4 linked regions of the Oryctolagus cuniculus genome follow. The protein of the gene in region 1 interacts with the protein of each later gene in a pairwise test. Links are inferred from orthologs where the notes say so. Each region holds a gene or a part of one and is shown on either strand. Other genes may lie near its edges.

Evidence for each region. The genes of interacting proteins can lie anywhere in the genome.
Region 2: the proteins of DEUP1 (region 1) and TXLNB interact in binary tests that used the Homo sapiens proteins (3 or more experiments, as listed by UniProt). The two-hybrid records come from large-scale screens. The link is inferred for Oryctolagus cuniculus from reciprocal best matches to the Homo sapiens genes DEUP1 and TXLNB.
Region 3: the proteins of DEUP1 (region 1) and TBC1D22B interact in binary tests that used the Homo sapiens proteins (3 or more experiments, as listed by UniProt). The link is inferred for Oryctolagus cuniculus from reciprocal best matches to the Homo sapiens genes DEUP1 and TBC1D22B.
Region 4: the proteins of DEUP1 (region 1) and ESRRG interact in binary tests that used the Homo sapiens proteins (3 or more experiments, as listed by UniProt). The two-hybrid records come from large-scale screens. The link is inferred for Oryctolagus cuniculus from reciprocal best matches to the Homo sapiens genes DEUP1 and ESRRG.

Annotation. Positions count from the first base shown.
Region 1 is NC_091432.1:84,562,668-84,566,167, reverse strand, and holds part of DEUP1 (deuterosome assembly protein 1), read right to left. Parts: intron 1,994-3,500; coding exon 1,880-1,993; intron 940-1,879; coding exon 697-939; intron 1-696. UniProt on the Homo sapiens protein: Key structural component of the deuterosome, a structure that promotes de novo centriole amplification in multiciliated cells.
Region 2 is NC_091436.1:29,550,163-29,554,406, forward strand, and holds the start of TXLNB (beta-taxilin), read left to right. Parts: upstream 1-1,444; 5' UTR 1,445-1,640; intron 1,641-4,205; 5' UTR 4,206-4,206; coding exon 4,207-4,244. UniProt on the Homo sapiens protein: Promotes motor nerve regeneration. May be involved in intracellular vesicle traffic.
Region 3 is NC_091436.1:132,390,660-132,394,714, forward strand, and holds the start of TBC1D22B (TBC1 domain family member 22B), read right to left. Parts: upstream 2,801-4,055; 5' UTR 2,722-2,800; coding exon 2,666-2,721; intron 1-2,665. UniProt on the Homo sapiens protein: May act as a GTPase-activating protein for Rab family protein(s).
Region 4 is NC_091444.1:30,982,355-30,986,491, reverse strand, and holds the start of ESRRG (estrogen-related receptor gamma), read left to right. Parts: upstream 1-1,337; 5' UTR 1,338-4,137. UniProt on the Homo sapiens protein: Orphan receptor that acts as a transcription activator in the absence of bound ligand. Binds specifically to an estrogen response element and activates reporter genes controlled by estrogen response elements.

The DNA.
Region 1 (3,500 bases):
CTAGAATATATCTATGTTGATTGAATATATCAAGTAGCTGGATACTCATGAACAAGGTGTTCATTTTTAGTAAGAAAATAAGTAATGATCAATTTTGTTGAATGTGTATAACCTTCTTAATTACAGCAAGAAGTAGAAAGAAAGAAGATTGTTGGGTCAAGAAAAAAAATTAATGCTTGGAGAACCAACCAGTCATAATATAAGTTACCTCAGAATGCATTTGAGGCCAATGCTTGTCAAATGATTATGATAAGGTTACCAGTGATAAATCACAGGGAGTAACTCCCATGCCTTTTCCTGAAGTTACTAACTAGTTGAACTTGTCATGATTTCCTGGACCTCTCATCCAGGATTCCTTGAGTCAGAGAGGTATAGGGTCAAAGAAATTACAGGGTACAGAGGGTGGTGTGTGGTTAAAGGGCCATGTTTTTCAGGCATAGAAGTCTGTATGAGAATCTATTATACTCACTTTCAATGCATATGATGTCATTATTGAACCAAAGTGCACTCTGATGAGGCAAACTACCTATGAGATTAACTACTTTCTTCATCAAGTGGGAATTACTTACTAAGGAAATATGGACTGAATTTACACATATAGTAGAAAATGAGCTTTCTATAATCCCTATACCTGTTGAGTCATCATTAAACAGAACATGGACGATACTAGTTGGATGACAAAAAATATATTCTTACCTGGCACTGTCTTTGGTACATTTTCAGTTCTTGCAGGAGCTTCTGATTTTCATCTTGTAACTTATTCCTGCTTAGTGCTATTTCACTCACAGCTGATTTTAGTTTGGCAATAATGAATTCATCTCTCTCATTGGTTTCACAGCTGGGATCTGGGTCACATATCAAGCGAGGAATTTCACAGCTGCTGTCTTCTATGCTCTGTGCTTTACCATCTAGTTGAGTTTGGTAACTTTGTGCCTGTTTCTGAGAAATGTAAAAACTCTAAATTCAATGAAGAATATCACATTTAAGCATTACATGAATGATAGAAAACAACTGGCAAAAACTCATTTAAGTATGTTACTATATAGGAAAGGTTGGCCTTTTATAATAAAGTCTCTCTTTGTTATGAAATCTCAATTAAATGGTTGAAGTGAAAATATGCTTGTATAACATTGAAGCAAAGATCTAGAGCATGGAAAGGTCTACAGATTGGCCAGTTTTATTAAGCATGAATGAAAGTCTAGAATCTGTAAAAGAAGAAAATTATGAATTCAATTACACAATAGTTGAAAAATGTCTCTCTGATTTAAAGCAAAGGAAAACAGAAACAACTGGATTATGGAGAAACAGCTGTGAAGGCAATAACAGGCGTTAATCATTGCTAATGTACAATAACTTCTATATATCAATAAGAAAAAGACAACACTGAAGAAAAATGGACAGAATATATGGAGGCAATTCACAGAAGAGGAAATGAAAAAGGCTAAGAAATATGAGGGCATCGTCAAAAATTGTGTATTATGAAAACACTTTGCATAGATTTTGATTTTTGAATTGAAATATATTTATCTTTTCATTTTTCACATGCTTTTGAAGTCTCTCATATAAGAAGAGGTGATTAGTCTTTTACAAATTTGGTCAGCAAGTCAAACAATCCAAGATTCTCTTAGGACATTGTCCATAGGCATGCAAAAGGTGTTGTCTAATGACATAATGACAATGACATTTTAAAAAGCATCATCCCTTGAGGTATGTAGACTAAATTCACTATCACAGATAGTTCATGAACTGGTGACTATACCCGCTCTACTCTACTCATTTTCACTTAGTTAGCATTTCTATCTGTAAATAGATTCCATGCTGAATGGCAAAGACACCAGTATGTAACTTTACATTCAGAGGTTATTATTAAGTAACATACCTGGAATTGATTACACTTCTCAGATAATAATTTTTGCTGAGCATCTAAAGAAACTAGGTGAGTCTGATATAGTATCTCTTGCTTATCCCATTCTCTTGATTTTGCTCTAAATTCCTTTTAAAAAATGGGGGGAACAAAGATAAATTGAAGAATATTATTCATTGTGAAGCACAATGAATAGGGTTTCTTTTATTTACACCTTCATTCAGAGGGGACTAAAAAGTAAGTCCATTCTTTGCCTATTAGGAAAATTATAAAAATTAAGTATCAAATCATTCATATTGGATTTATTAGTCTTCTAATTTTTGCTAGGAAAATATGGAATTTATAACTTAGTCCTTGTACAAAAAGCATTAAATATTCTATTTACTAAAAATATTGTAAGTTCCTCTGAAAATTGCTATTAATAAGCTACCTTCCAAACATCTTTTTTCTTCAATTAATTACTTTCATTCTATTTACTCATACCGGAAGTTTTTTCCCTCCTTCCATTCTCTACAATCAGTCGTTAAACTTGTTCCCTTGCAAGGATAGGGAATGATAATGCCCATGAAACCATTTGGTCTGGCTCTGCCAAGGCAACTGCTTTCGGGACTTGAAATTCAGTAAGTCTATAGCAGGCTAATTTTTAAGTTGATGATTTTGTATGGCCTGTAAAGGATGTTATAAATATGCAAATAGCTCTTAGTAGAAAAAAGGTTCTCCAGCCCTGTATAGAGCTTAGATTTTGCCACTGCTTGGACTGAATATTTGTGTTCCCCCATCCATGCTCCAAATCCATGTGTTGAAGCCTAATTCCCATATGATATTATTTGGACTGGGGGCCTTTGGGAAATGACTAGGCCATGTGAATGGAACCCTCATAAAGATTAGTGCTCTAATAAGAAGAGATATGAGAGAGTTTTTTTCTTTTTCTCTATATGAAGATATAAGGAGACAGCCATCTATAAACCAGGACGAGGGCCATCACCAGAACCTAATACTCTGAACTTGGACTTTCAATTTTCAGAACTGTGAGAAATAAATGATTGTTGCTTAAGTCGATTTGTCCATGTTATTCTGTCACAGCAGCCTGAACTAAGATAGTGATGTGGCTTTCAAAGTTTTGTCCAAGTCCACTCAATCTTGGAAACAGAAAAACCATTTGAGGTCTCATGCAGGGAGTATCAGTTGGGTTAATCTGGGAAAGAAGAAGTGGCACTAGCTTTATAAAGCACATACAGTTCTTTGACTTTTTTCTGAAGTAGTACAGTCACAGAGCATGATTATCACTTCACGACTTAGTAACATGAACAAAAGGCATCGTACTGGGGATACCAAATAGAACTTCACTCCTCAATGTTTCCTAGGGCTGGCCATTCTTGTCGTTCTGTCCAGGCTTAAGCAACTGAATGTGAAGGGCTGTGTATTTTATTACTTTCAGATTGTTCACAGCGCTTGATAGAGTGCCAGATACTACTTGTGTTCCATGAATGCACAAACAAAAGCATAGTATTAACATCTCCTGGAATTTAAACATTTCTCACTAGACTTTTCAAAGAAAACAACATGGCTGAAAGTAGACTTTACAGCTCCTAAGTTCATGACCATATACTGGTGATGTGCTGTGAACACGGTGTAG
Region 2 (4,244 bases), on another chromosome or scaffold:
ATTTTCTACAATCAGGTTGTAGCATTCACTAAGTGCTCATTAACGTTAGAAGGAAATACCTTTTTCTTTCATCGATTTTAGTTCACTAACTTTATTACCATGATGCAGTAAACGGCTTCATTGTTGAAATCACCCAGATTTCTTTTCCCTGACCTCTATTTATTAGTTATGCTCACCTATATATAATTTATGCCTCCCCTGACCTCAGAGAAAGGAGTAGGAAAACGCTTGAGAGGGTGCAATGTTTTGGGTTTCCTATTGCTGCCATAACAATTTACTATAAATTTAGCAGCTTAAAAAAAAAACTTACTATCTTATGCTTCTGTAAGAAACCCAAAAGGAGCTAAATGGGGCTAAAATCCACATGCCAGCAGTACTGCATTTTTCTGGAGGCTGCAGAGGAGAATCCATTTCCCTGCCTTTTCCAGTGTCTAGAACCTCCCGCATTCCTTGGTTCACTGCCACACATCACGCTGATCTTTACTGGTCATCAATCTTCTTTTCTAAGTCTGATCCTCTCACCTTCCTCTTACAATTATGAGAACCCTGTGGTTCATAATCCAGAACCATCTCCCCACGCCAAGACCTTAATCTAAGGCAAAATTGTTTTTGCCTTGTCAAGTTACGTGCACAGAACAGGGATTAGGATATGGACATCTTTTGGATGGCATTATTTGGTCTACCACAAGGAGTGCCACTTGGTCCATCCTGTCCCCAAAGCAGAAAGTCTCATAGAAGGATCTGCTTTGGAAAAGTAGGAACACATTCCCTGGGAACTGAAAGAAAAGGGCAGTAAATGTAAGACAGCATTTTACAGTGTGTGGGAATGAGGTTCTTTTTCTGAGGAAGATTGAGGAGCACACAGGGGCTTTGAAAGGGGTGGACACGCTGCTCTGCGAGGTGAGAAAACCCCACTAAGAAGATAAAGCAGACTGCTTTCCTAAGGGCCCGAGATGTGGTAGTCTCCTGGGAAGGACTCTCTGAGGACATGCCAGTCACCATGCACATGAAGATTACTCCCAGCTCCAAAACGCTCACTTCACTGCTATTGCACATTTGCAAACAGCGCAACTGTAGCGTCAGAATTAACGTGGCTCTACCACCTTTTCGGTATGCCCTTGTTTTCTGCTTTGCAGGATTCCTCCAGCATGAAACCTGACACTAATTAGGCTAGCCCCAAGTAGGAAAATAAAGATGATGAACCACAACCCACTCTGGAGATAAACCAAGGAAAACGGATCTCTGCCCAAAAGAACAACAGTGAAAAATCGTATTTGCCAAGGGGCTATCTACTAAGAGTTTAAATTTTTAGAAGAACAAAACGTGGAGAGTCTGATAAGATCTGCCAGCTACTGCTGTTTTCTCAGATATTTGCCAGGGCCACAGCCACTGAAGCTTGGGTGGATTTCTCTCTTGCTGTGTCATAAGATGTTCCTCTCCCCACCCCCACCTCCTCCCTCCTGCTGCCTCCACCAGTGCCTGTGTGTGTGTGTGTGCGCGCGCACGAGTGTGTATTTGGTTTCTCTCTCCCCTGTAAGAACACAGTCCGCCCGCCTTCTCCTGCTGTTGCTGCCGCTCTGACTTGCTCTTTGCTGCTGCTTTCCTCTCTTTCTCTTCCTGCTTAAGCTCCCTGCCTTCTGGTAAGTATGACAAACACTCCCCCAAGCCCTGTGAGATGTAGGGAGTGGTTTGTGGTGCTCGAAACTTGCAACTTTGAGACTGCCAGTGAACTGTTGAAGAACTTTCCATTGTTGCATTTATAATTAAAATGTGTGGCTCAGGAAGGGATGTGTGAGTGCTGGGACTGCCAGCACAAGTGAAATATGCTCTCAGAGGAGGGGAGGAAAGGGCAACACAGTTCACATAGATGAAAGTGAAAATTAAATTCTTTGACATAAAAATAATTTATATAAAAGGGTCCTTTAAAACTAACAATGTTTTTTCCTCTTGTTGATTTGTCTTGAGTCTACTTTTAGAAATTGAGTTGTCCTGTGGTTAATGACTCAGTTATTCTGCCTTAAAGTAAATGTGGAAAAGGAGTTTAAAGAATATTTGTGGAATTAAAGACATCAATGATAATGACATCTGAAGAATGAAGAATAAATCAAATACAAACAAAACATGTGCATGTAGACTAACCACAGTAAAACTCCATACACAGTCGGTTTTAAATTCTTGATTGAAATTCGCTTTCATTTTGATTTGATTTGATTTGATTCTAATATGGGTTCCCAACATTTTAAAACTCACATATGGTCTTAAGTCACTAAATACATACTGTTTTAATTTGATTTAAAAATTATTCTCTTGAATGCCCAAGGATGACGTGCTAAATGCCATGACTCATTTTAGAATAGCTTAAAATAACTTCTGACTGGACAGCAGGTGCCATGTGTCTTTGAGTTTAGAGGAAGCATAAGTTATATATAGATGAGTGTGCCTAACAAGTGGAGATCAAGATCAAGAGATTCCAATGAGGAAAACAAAGAAGCTGTCTACTACATACATTATCTGATCATCAAATTGGTGAATTAAAATTGGTGAAAGAAAAAAAGAACTTCCTTCTAACTTAATGAGTACTTGGTGAGAGCAACAAGTAGGTGGCAATGTCTAAGCTCTGGCTTTTCCTTTCTCGCTGGTGTCCAAACATCTGACACCCACTGCCCTGAGAATGAGGGAAGGGGGCTGTGCCGTTGATACAAGAGTATGTTTTTGTTCTCACTTTCACATGACCATAGCAGCAAAACCTATGAATGATGAGGATCGTGCCATATTTTATGGTCATAAGTAGCATCATCAGCATTAAATATTATTTACAGATAAAATGTTCCATCACTTAATGAACTAACACAAACTGATTGCAAATCTAGAAATGGTAGTAGCCAGACACCCTACAGTAATCTTCCACACAACTTTGTTCCTCACTCCTCATTTCTTAAGAACTTGTGTTATACTTACATTATTTTCCTAGTTCATTCCTTCCCTGCTTTTTTACTTGATATATAATAAAAATGATTGGCCGACGCCATGGCTCACTAGGGTAATCCTACGCCTAGCGGCGCCGGCACACCAGGTTCTAGTCCCGGTCGGGGAGCCGGATTCTGTCCCGGTTGCCCCTCTTCCAGGCCAGCTCTCTGCTGTGGCCAGGGAGTGCAGTGGAGGATGGCCCAAGTGCTTGGGCCCTGCACCCCATGGGAGACCAGGAGAAGTACCTGGCTCCTGCCATCGGATCAGCGCGGTGCGCCGGCCGCAGCGCCAGTCGCAGCGGCCACTGGAGGGTGAACCAAAGGCAAAGGAAGACCTTTCTCTCTGTCTCTCTCTCTCTCTCACTGTCCACGCTGCCTGTAAAAAAAAAAAAAAAAAAAAAAAAAAAAAATTATTAAGTTTCCCTAGAGTTACTTGCCTTGGAATAGAAAGTGATAATCTGCTTTCTTCTAAAAGAAAGCCGATTTTTATAGAGGAATAAAAAGTTATTGTAGAAATTTAAGAAATTGCTATTATTATAAGCATTACCATGTTTCCATATTGGTTGGTTTATTTACACCTTCCCTTATTCCACGTCTTATTACAAAAATGATGCTAGAATGAATTTCAGGAAAAATATTTTTGCTGATTGACAATTAATAACATGTTGCTCATCTGGGAAAAAGAAAATACTAGAAAGGCAAGAATATCTCCTGAATCACTAGAATAATTCATTTACATCCAACCATCTGTACTAATCAACTCTTTACTTACAGGTCAATATAAAGTTAGGGGCATTATTGTTATGAATCATTTAAAGTTAATTGGCTATTGTATTAAGTAATTTAACTTTGAATGAAAACTAATACCACTTAAAATTAAACATATGAAATGTATATACCTGTGTACTTCCAATGATTGTGAATCTACACATATTCATAAAAGAAAATGGTAACATTGGATCTTCTAAGCAAATGACAAATATGTCACGAAAAACAATACTTTGGTAATGTTAATAATAAGGTATACTGAAAACTAAAACCATAAATATGCTAGTAGTATGACTCCATCTGGAAAAATGGCTTCCCACTGTTTCTACCTAACTAATTGTAACAGCAATGATTTGTAAAAGTACATTCACTCTATGTTAGAAACCATAATTAGTTGATGCTCAATTTGCTCACATAACTTAGTGAACTACACAAAACCTAACTATGCTTACCACTTGATACTACACACAGTATGGAGATTAATCACGCTGAACAGCTCTCAGCAGAACA
Region 3 (4,055 bases), on another chromosome or scaffold:
TTCTTGGCTTTTTGGCTAAGATCAAGTGAAGAGTCAAAAGATATATTGGGGGCCGGCACTATGTTGTGGCAGGTAAAGCCGCTGTCTGCAGTGCTGGCATCCCATATGGACGTTGGTTCAAGTCCCGACTGCTCCACTTGCAATCCAGCTCTCTGTTGTGGCCTGGGAAGGCAGTAGAAGATGGCCCACGTTTTTGGGCCCCTGCACCCAAGTGGGAGACCTGGAAGAAGCTCCTGGCTTAAGATAGTGCAGCTCCGGCAGTTGTGGCCAACTGAGGGAGGGAACCAGAGGATGGAGAACCTCTCTCTCTCTCTGCCTCTCCTTCTCTCTATGTGTAACTCTGACTTTCAAATAAATACATAAATCTTAAAAAAAAAAAGTTATATTGAGAAAATGCTCTAACATTTTCCTTTCATCAAGGCACCTTTCCATCTACAAGATGCCTGGGTAGTTTTCTCCCATAATCAGGAGCTCCTGGGGCCTCGCAGATAAAGGCACACAGCTGAACCATATTTCTCTTCAACAATCAAAGTACTAAAAGCTAGTATGAATTGTGCCAGTATTTTATGGTTAGAACAAAGAATGAAGACTTGAACTAGGGCTGGGGTAAGGGATCTGAGCAATATTCTTTTCAACAATTACTTGCTCTAGAAACAGCAATACTGAGCAACTATAATGTGTTAAATAAACGGTCCTAGGTTCTTTACAAATAGGGTATTTTATTAGTAATCCCAGGAACCCTGAGGGAAGTATTTTTATTTCTCATTTCACAGATAAGGAAACAGAGGCCTGGATGTCAATCATTTGTCTTTGACACACAGGTAAGAGAGTTCAAATAATGAGCCAAGGCTTTTTAAACCCTAAGGTTCTCTCCTCTTCCCTTCTGTATTCTTCAAAATGGAAGAGTCAGACACTTGAAGAAATGAAGACTCCTCTCCCAGAGCCCAAGTGCTTGGGCCCCTGCGCCCACGTGGCAGACCTGGAAGAAGCTCCAGGCTCCTGGCTTCAGATCAGCTCAGCTCCAAGTTGTTGCGGCCATTTGGGGAGTGAACCAGTGGATGGAAGACCTCTCTCTCTGTCTCTCCCTCTTTCGGTCTGTAACTCTACCTCTCAAATAAATAAATGAATAAAATCTTTCTTTAAAAAAAAAAAAAAAGACTCCTCTTCCTATCTCACATAGTGCTTTAGAAAAGTTGACTGTTTCAGTATTAAACAGAAGCCAGTGAACAGCAACCAGTGTCAGAAGGCACAAAGGACCATGCCATGTCCCTCATCTCCTGCACTGCTTCCTGTTGGAACAGTTTTCCTGCTGAGTCTCATTATAACCTTAGGACATCAAAATTTAATGATCTCATGATGGAAAACCCCAGAGAACAGCATTTAGCATAACTGGAGAGTTCACTAGATCAGGAAGGAAAAGAAATCAGGTGGCAGGAAGCGATGCTTATCTAAAGACACACAACATCTTTAACACGATATTAACAGTCATTCCAGTGTAATTTCCATGTTAATCTGAGGCTGTCTTTGCATTGCCTTCTATTAATATGTATTACTAAAAGCTGATCCCCACTCCATTTCCCATATGTTTAATAGGATCCTAAATAAGGTAAGACTGCCAAGACACTACGGACTGTTCATTTCTCTTTGCTTTAGAGGAAAATACTCAGTCATAAGTTCAAAGAATTACCAATTATCCCAGAAAGAAAAGAACTGAATCAATTAGGAAAGGTGGCAGGGGAGGGCACAGCCAAACGTGAATTTCATCACCAACTGGACTGTGGCTGGCAGAAATCTTAAATTCACAATTGAAACACACTTTCCTCCTTAGACTTCTAAGGACTCAGCCCAAAACAACCCAAACTGTCAACTAACGGCAGATTGGGGGATGGACAACTGCTAAAAAGTCTCAACACATGCCAAAATGGAAAAAAAAAAAAATCGCTTAGAAGGTCTGCCCTCCACGAAACCACTGAAGAATGAAAGAATTCAGTGTGTGTGCACAAGAAGACCATTACAATGCAGGGGGTGGGGGGAAGAGGTCACTTGGAGTTGGACAAATCCCTAGAAAATGCTAGAGAAAAACACCGACTCTGTGGTCTCCCTGTAAGAAATCCTTGACGGGAAAGGGTCAACTCAAGATAAAGTGGGGTCAGGCTGCAGAACTGCTCTCACTTTTCCTGGACCCCCACCCCCCGCCCCGACCCCTTTCCTCGCAGGCGGCCCCAAGCTCCCACCAGAACCCTTTGGGAGAAGATTTGCACCTGAGGAGCTGGGGGAGCCAAGGAAGGGGCCACCCTCGAGTAAGCAACCACCTGTGCATGCTGGAGACCCCCGAGGAGTTCTCTTCAAAGTGGGAAGTGGCTCTGGGAATGGCCCCCCAAGCCCCGGGGGCGACACGGGGTTCTCCCTCAACTCCTCTGCCCCCTGTGCCCGGTCGTCGGCCACCCCCCAGCTGAGGTCACCTCTCCTGAGACCTCCGCCCTCAGACCCCGGTCTGTACCTCACACCCAGCCGTCCCCGCTCCTCTGCCTGACAGCCGCCCTGCCGCTACCAGGCAGCCCTGACTGCTCGGTCCTGGGGTCCCCACATCAGTCGCAAGATTTAGGGATTAGGATTTGGAAGGGTTTGGTCCAATCCCGGCTCCCTCTCAGCGTCCTGGGCTCACCTCCCCGGCAGCTTGGCGCTCCTCTTCCAAAACTGCTTGCTGTTCTCGGCGGCCATTGCTCTGGCCCGGGGAAGGCCTTGTAGGTGGGTCAGGGGGTGCCCGACGAGACGCCCCCGAGACCCCGCAATCTGAGGGCCAACCCAGGCCGCTTCCCCGTCGCCGGTCACCCGCTCCCAGCTCCTGGGGGCGCCATCTTGGATGTGGGCACCCGCCCACCCAGCGCAGCTGCCATTGGTGGGCTGCGCCAGCCGTGAACAGACGGGCCAATCGGGAGCCGGAATCCTGTAGGATGCTGAAGCCGAACGGTAACGTCAGGGGCTGGGCACCCAGGTGGGCCGGGAAGGCGGAGCTTGAGCGAGCCGGGAGGCGGGGCAGAAAGTTCCTACCCACGAGAGGGAAGAAGCAGGTAAAGAAAGCGACCCACGGGAAGGAGGCACGGGGGCTGTTTTCTTCTGGGGAAATGAGATCCCGGAGTCTGCTATTATTTGTAAGGAGGGCCATAGTGTGTATTTATAAACATAAATCTTTGACCTTGTTGGTTGTGACCCATTTTTAACGACACCCAACTCAGTGACACTTCGGTGATAGCCACCCCTTCCTCGTTCCGGTTCCGTTTAGGTCCGGAGTTTTTTTTTTTTTTTTTCTCCCTATGAAGGACTCAGTTAACCCACGCTCCCTAACTGTTCAACATGTGACAGTGGGTTCAGGAGTCTCCCTCCTCTGTTGACTGAATACTTTTAAAGGATTTGTGCTGTGAATGAAACGCCAAGGATCGAATCCTGTTTTAATCCGTAACTCTCACTTTCTGACAGTGAAAGCCTAGATACTGACTGACAGACGTGTTTAGGGAATGTGGTTGCGTCCATCCAATCCACATGACCAAGTACCCCATTTCTTTAGAGCATATCGTGTATCTCCATGATGTGAATCACCAAGATGCGGGTGTACCCCCACACACTTATCCTTAATTTCCCTTCTTAATCTATTGTAAATCTTTCACCCTTGAATTTGTTCTCAATCTAATTTTGTCTCAGAATGAAATTTAATATTAGCATTTTAAACTCTTTGAAATGTTTTGTCTGCGCTTTGTGCTTTTTTTTTTTTTAAGATTTGTTTATTTATTTGAAAGGCAGAGTTACAGAGAGAAGAGAGAGAGATCTTGATATCTTCCATCCACTGGGTGTCACTTCCCAAATGGCCAAAATGGTCGGAGCTGGGCTGATCTGAAGGCAGGAGCCAGGAGCTTCTTCCTGGTCTCCCGTGCGGGTACAGGAACCCAAGCACTTGGGCCATCTTCCACTGCTTTACAAGGTGCATTAGCAGGGAGCTGGATTGGAAGTGGAGCAGCCAGGACTCAAACCGGTGTCCATATGGGATGCTGGCGCTGCAG
Region 4 (4,137 bases), on another chromosome or scaffold:
ATATGGTGCTGGTTCGAGTCTCAGCGGCTTCACTTCCAATCCAGTTCCCTGCTAGCACTCCTGGGAGGGCAGCAGAAGATGGCACAAGTTGTTGGCCCCTTGCACCCACATGGGAGACCCAGATGAAGCTCCTGGCTTCAGACTGGCCCGGCTCTGCCATTGCAGCCTCTGGGGAGTGAACCGACAGATGGAGGACCTCTCTCTCTCTGTCTCTCCTTCTGTCTGTCTGTGACTCTACCTTTCAAGTAAATGAATGAGTCCTTAAAAAAAATCTTAGAAATATATCAATGAGTTCTAACATCCAAAAGGTGCAATAACCTTTTTAAACCTGTTTATGTGGATACTAGCTGTTAATATCTCATTGTTTTTTCAACTGCTCCTTTGAAAGTCTTGACAGAAAGGTTAGCAAAAGCAATAGGAAAAGAGACCTTTCCAATTGTAGTGAACACTCAATTTTATATATATATTATTTATATATATATAGAATATATATATATATATATAGAGAGAGAGAGAGAGAGAGCACCTAAATAGATGTTGAATGGGGTGGCTAAAATGGGTAATTTGATCATTTTCCTGGGATAAAGCAGATATTGCTTCTTCTGAAATCTTTGTGTTTGTTCCACTTTCTCCTCCTCAATCTCCACTGTGGCCCTGCCTTCCTCCCAGAGCTAAGCTCCCCTTTATTTTGGACCACACTATCACACACATGATTGAGTCAACAATTTATGGCTTTTAAAAATAGGGATTTCGTCCTCTCTTAGGTTTATTGTTTATCATAATCATCTTTCAAGTGAAAAGGCTAATTTACTCTTTCTATAGGAATATTTTAAGCTTGATTATCATAATATTACCGCTGCCTGAAAAGGTCTAAAACGGGACATTGACCTTGAATGTTTTCTGCATTTAGCTTGCAGTGCTTAACATTCAGGAAAGAATATGACTGCAACTCATTTATTAATGTATAATCTCAAAATGTTAACTATTGCTCTGTAAATACATGCCACACAGATTATAGAAACCTTGTAGGACGCCATAAAACACACTTGATATTATACTAGGATGAGGATGTTAGAAATACAACATAACTGAAGTCAGTTGTCCCATTGGAGCTACTGTAGTTTGTAATTTAATTTTTACTGACATTTCACCATGTATATTATTAGCTTGACAAAATGAAAGTGAAATAATCCTGAATTAATTAAACAGGAGCCGAATTGCTTCTCTTAGTTTTTCTGTCACTGATTATTTATTCTTCCACTTTCACAAAAACACCGGGAAACGAGTTGGTGTATTATGGAGGAGAGACGATTGCTCCCCAGGGAATGGGCTTTTTTTTTTTTTTTTTTTTGAGACTCCATAATTTGGGAATGGGATGGATTTATAGGACAAGCGCTGTATCAAAAGGAAAGATTTTTATGAGTGCTTCTGTGGAAGTGATCACTTTCAGTAGAAATGATTGCTTCTTGCCAATGGAGACAATAATTTAAATATCAAAGCCTGTGCCCTAGAAATGAAAGGCAACAGAAAATGAGGTATGATGAATTGATAGAGGTTTGGTGGTAATACAAAGTAGCCACCCTGACTTCCAAAGAAGTCTGCCTGTGCTCAGTGGGAAAGGTATGTTCCTAAGTAGGTTTATGGCCCAGCAGAAATTCCAGTTTGCAGATGAGGAGACAGGGGACTAGAAAGCGAGGAGCCCAGGCCACAAAGGCTGGCATCTGGCCCTTTTCACCTGTGCTGTAAGGTTTTTTTTCTTAGCGACTGAACGATGGGTTTCCCCTCAGAGTGAAACGCATTAGATTGAAGTAGTCCTGGCTTGCTTTCTGTAGTAAGATAACACTACACAGGCTATATCAAAGACATCAGAGACAGTGGTTCAAAAAATTCAACAGCGTTTCAAAGGTTTGATGATCTTGAGGAAAAATCTGGAAGGCAGATTTACAAGGCAATTTAAACCTCAGAATTTTTAAAAACTGGCTTAGTTTTAAAGTGTTCAGCAAATAGCCAATGTGCAGTAGGGGAGGGAACTTCAAAAAGTTCATGGAAATTGACTTAAAAGATAAGTTTATTTTGGTACAAAAATATTTGAAATTCAGGCATTTTTTTTCTTGTAATAAGTATTTTCCAAGAATTTTTTTGAAGACCTCCTTACAAAATCTAAATCTGCTTCAAAAATGACTATAGTAAGCTTAAAATATTTTAATATGGATTAGTTTTCTTAATTTTCAGAAAAGGAGCATGAGAGCTATAAAGAGCTAATAGTTTGCAGTCATAGCAACTCTTAGCATTTCACACCACTTTGTGTAGTAACATAAAAATTCATTGCTAGTATGTTTTAGGCAATGATTCTGACTAACATACAGTAAGATGCATAGTATGTGCAACTCCTAGGAATCTACCTTTTGTTTCACTTGAGTTTTGCTTGTGGCCGCTCCTTTCTTTCAAGTGGAAATGAAGTGCACTATCTCTTTGTATCTGTGCCTTACCTGGGAACTGAGAAGAAGTTGTTCAGATACTTGTGACTGCAGTGTTTAGGGAAGAGAGTGAAACTATGTCTAGCCTGAGGGTCTGATGCATGATAGACTGATAGTAACTAATCTACTAATATTCTTTTTGAACCAGTCAAAAGAAGTTCTTTTGTTTGATTCCATTTTTCCTGATTTGGGTAGACTCCTTGTGGTAAGACTGTGAAGTGTATGGACATTTAGCAATATGAGCTTATTCTAGTCTGTTTATCTTTTTGATTGCTTTTTTTCCCCCCCAAATCCTCTGTAGTTGAATTTCTTGAAGGCTGAAGCTCAATATGACTTGTGCTGGCTTTCTTTTCCTAGGAGTCTCTATTCCTTTCTCTTTCAAGGTGAGGAACTTCTGTGATTAAGGAAGGTTCTTGAGATACTGTGCTGTGTGTTTATGAAATATTCTTGAAGCTGTCTCGAAAGTTCAGTGTAGTGGATATTATTTTAAATTTTAAATTGGTTAAACTGGATTCAGGATTGTACGTGTAATCTTAGGCCCTTGACTTGTACAGGTGACATTTTGATCCCTGGGGGAAAACATCCCGTTCTACAAATCTAATGCACTTCTGGTCGTTGAGAAAGCGGCAGGCTCAGTGAACACGGCACCTTCGGAGATGAAATATGGTCAGCGGAAGATCAGTGGGGGCGGCACTGTACAAGTGCGTACATGTGTCTCTGGGCACAGAAGAAAGACGCGTGCATGAATATGAGTCTAAATATGTTTAAAAATACACACCGAGGAAATCAAATGAGTCGCAGTAAAAGCAAAAATACCCCGAAAAGGAAATAAGAAAATTCTGGGGAATAAAATATCGCCTCTATAAAATATGATGACTTAAGGCCATCAGTAAATAATTGACTACAAATCTTGCCTTTAAACAGCCATTTCAAAGGAGGAATAGCCAGGTTCTGTCACAGCATGATAATGCAAAGAGACTGAATACAATACGAGATTCTTCCGCACAGGTACAAGATCGGAGTGCATGTGTTGAGTCCATTAAGATATGTTGAGTACATTAAATAATTTTTTTATCATTTTAAGAAATTATGCTGGACAAAAATAAGAGATTTTTTTGGTATATCTTTTTTTAAAAATGTACAATCACGTTTATTAATTACCTTGAAGATTTTAGTGTATTCAGAAATCAAGAGGAACAGGAAACAAAGATGTTTTTCTGTTGAATGCAGTATTAGCTTCCATATTTCTCTGTATTTTAGAAAAGTCATGCTTCTTTTTCAAAATGCCTTTTTATTTATTTTTGAAATTGTCAAAGAATTACATGTCTCCTTTTCGATTGAATACACAGATCTTTTTCTTCCCCCACCCCGAGTGTCTGCAGAATGCTTGGATTTTCTTCTGCATCTCCAAGCTCTTTTAATTCACTGCTCACAACCAAATTTACATCTTAATTGCAGAGTTCACATTTAACAATATAGACAGCATAATGCTACTGGTAATTAAGCTTTTACTACCTGCTTTTATACAGTATTCTCAAGCACAGTTTTAGCTATGTGAGTTGGGATCTAGAAACTTGTCTGCATTTAGACCACAAATAAAAGGAAATCGGGCCTGTATCTTAGATATAGCTAAGTGCATGGCAGGGAAATGGCTTTCTTC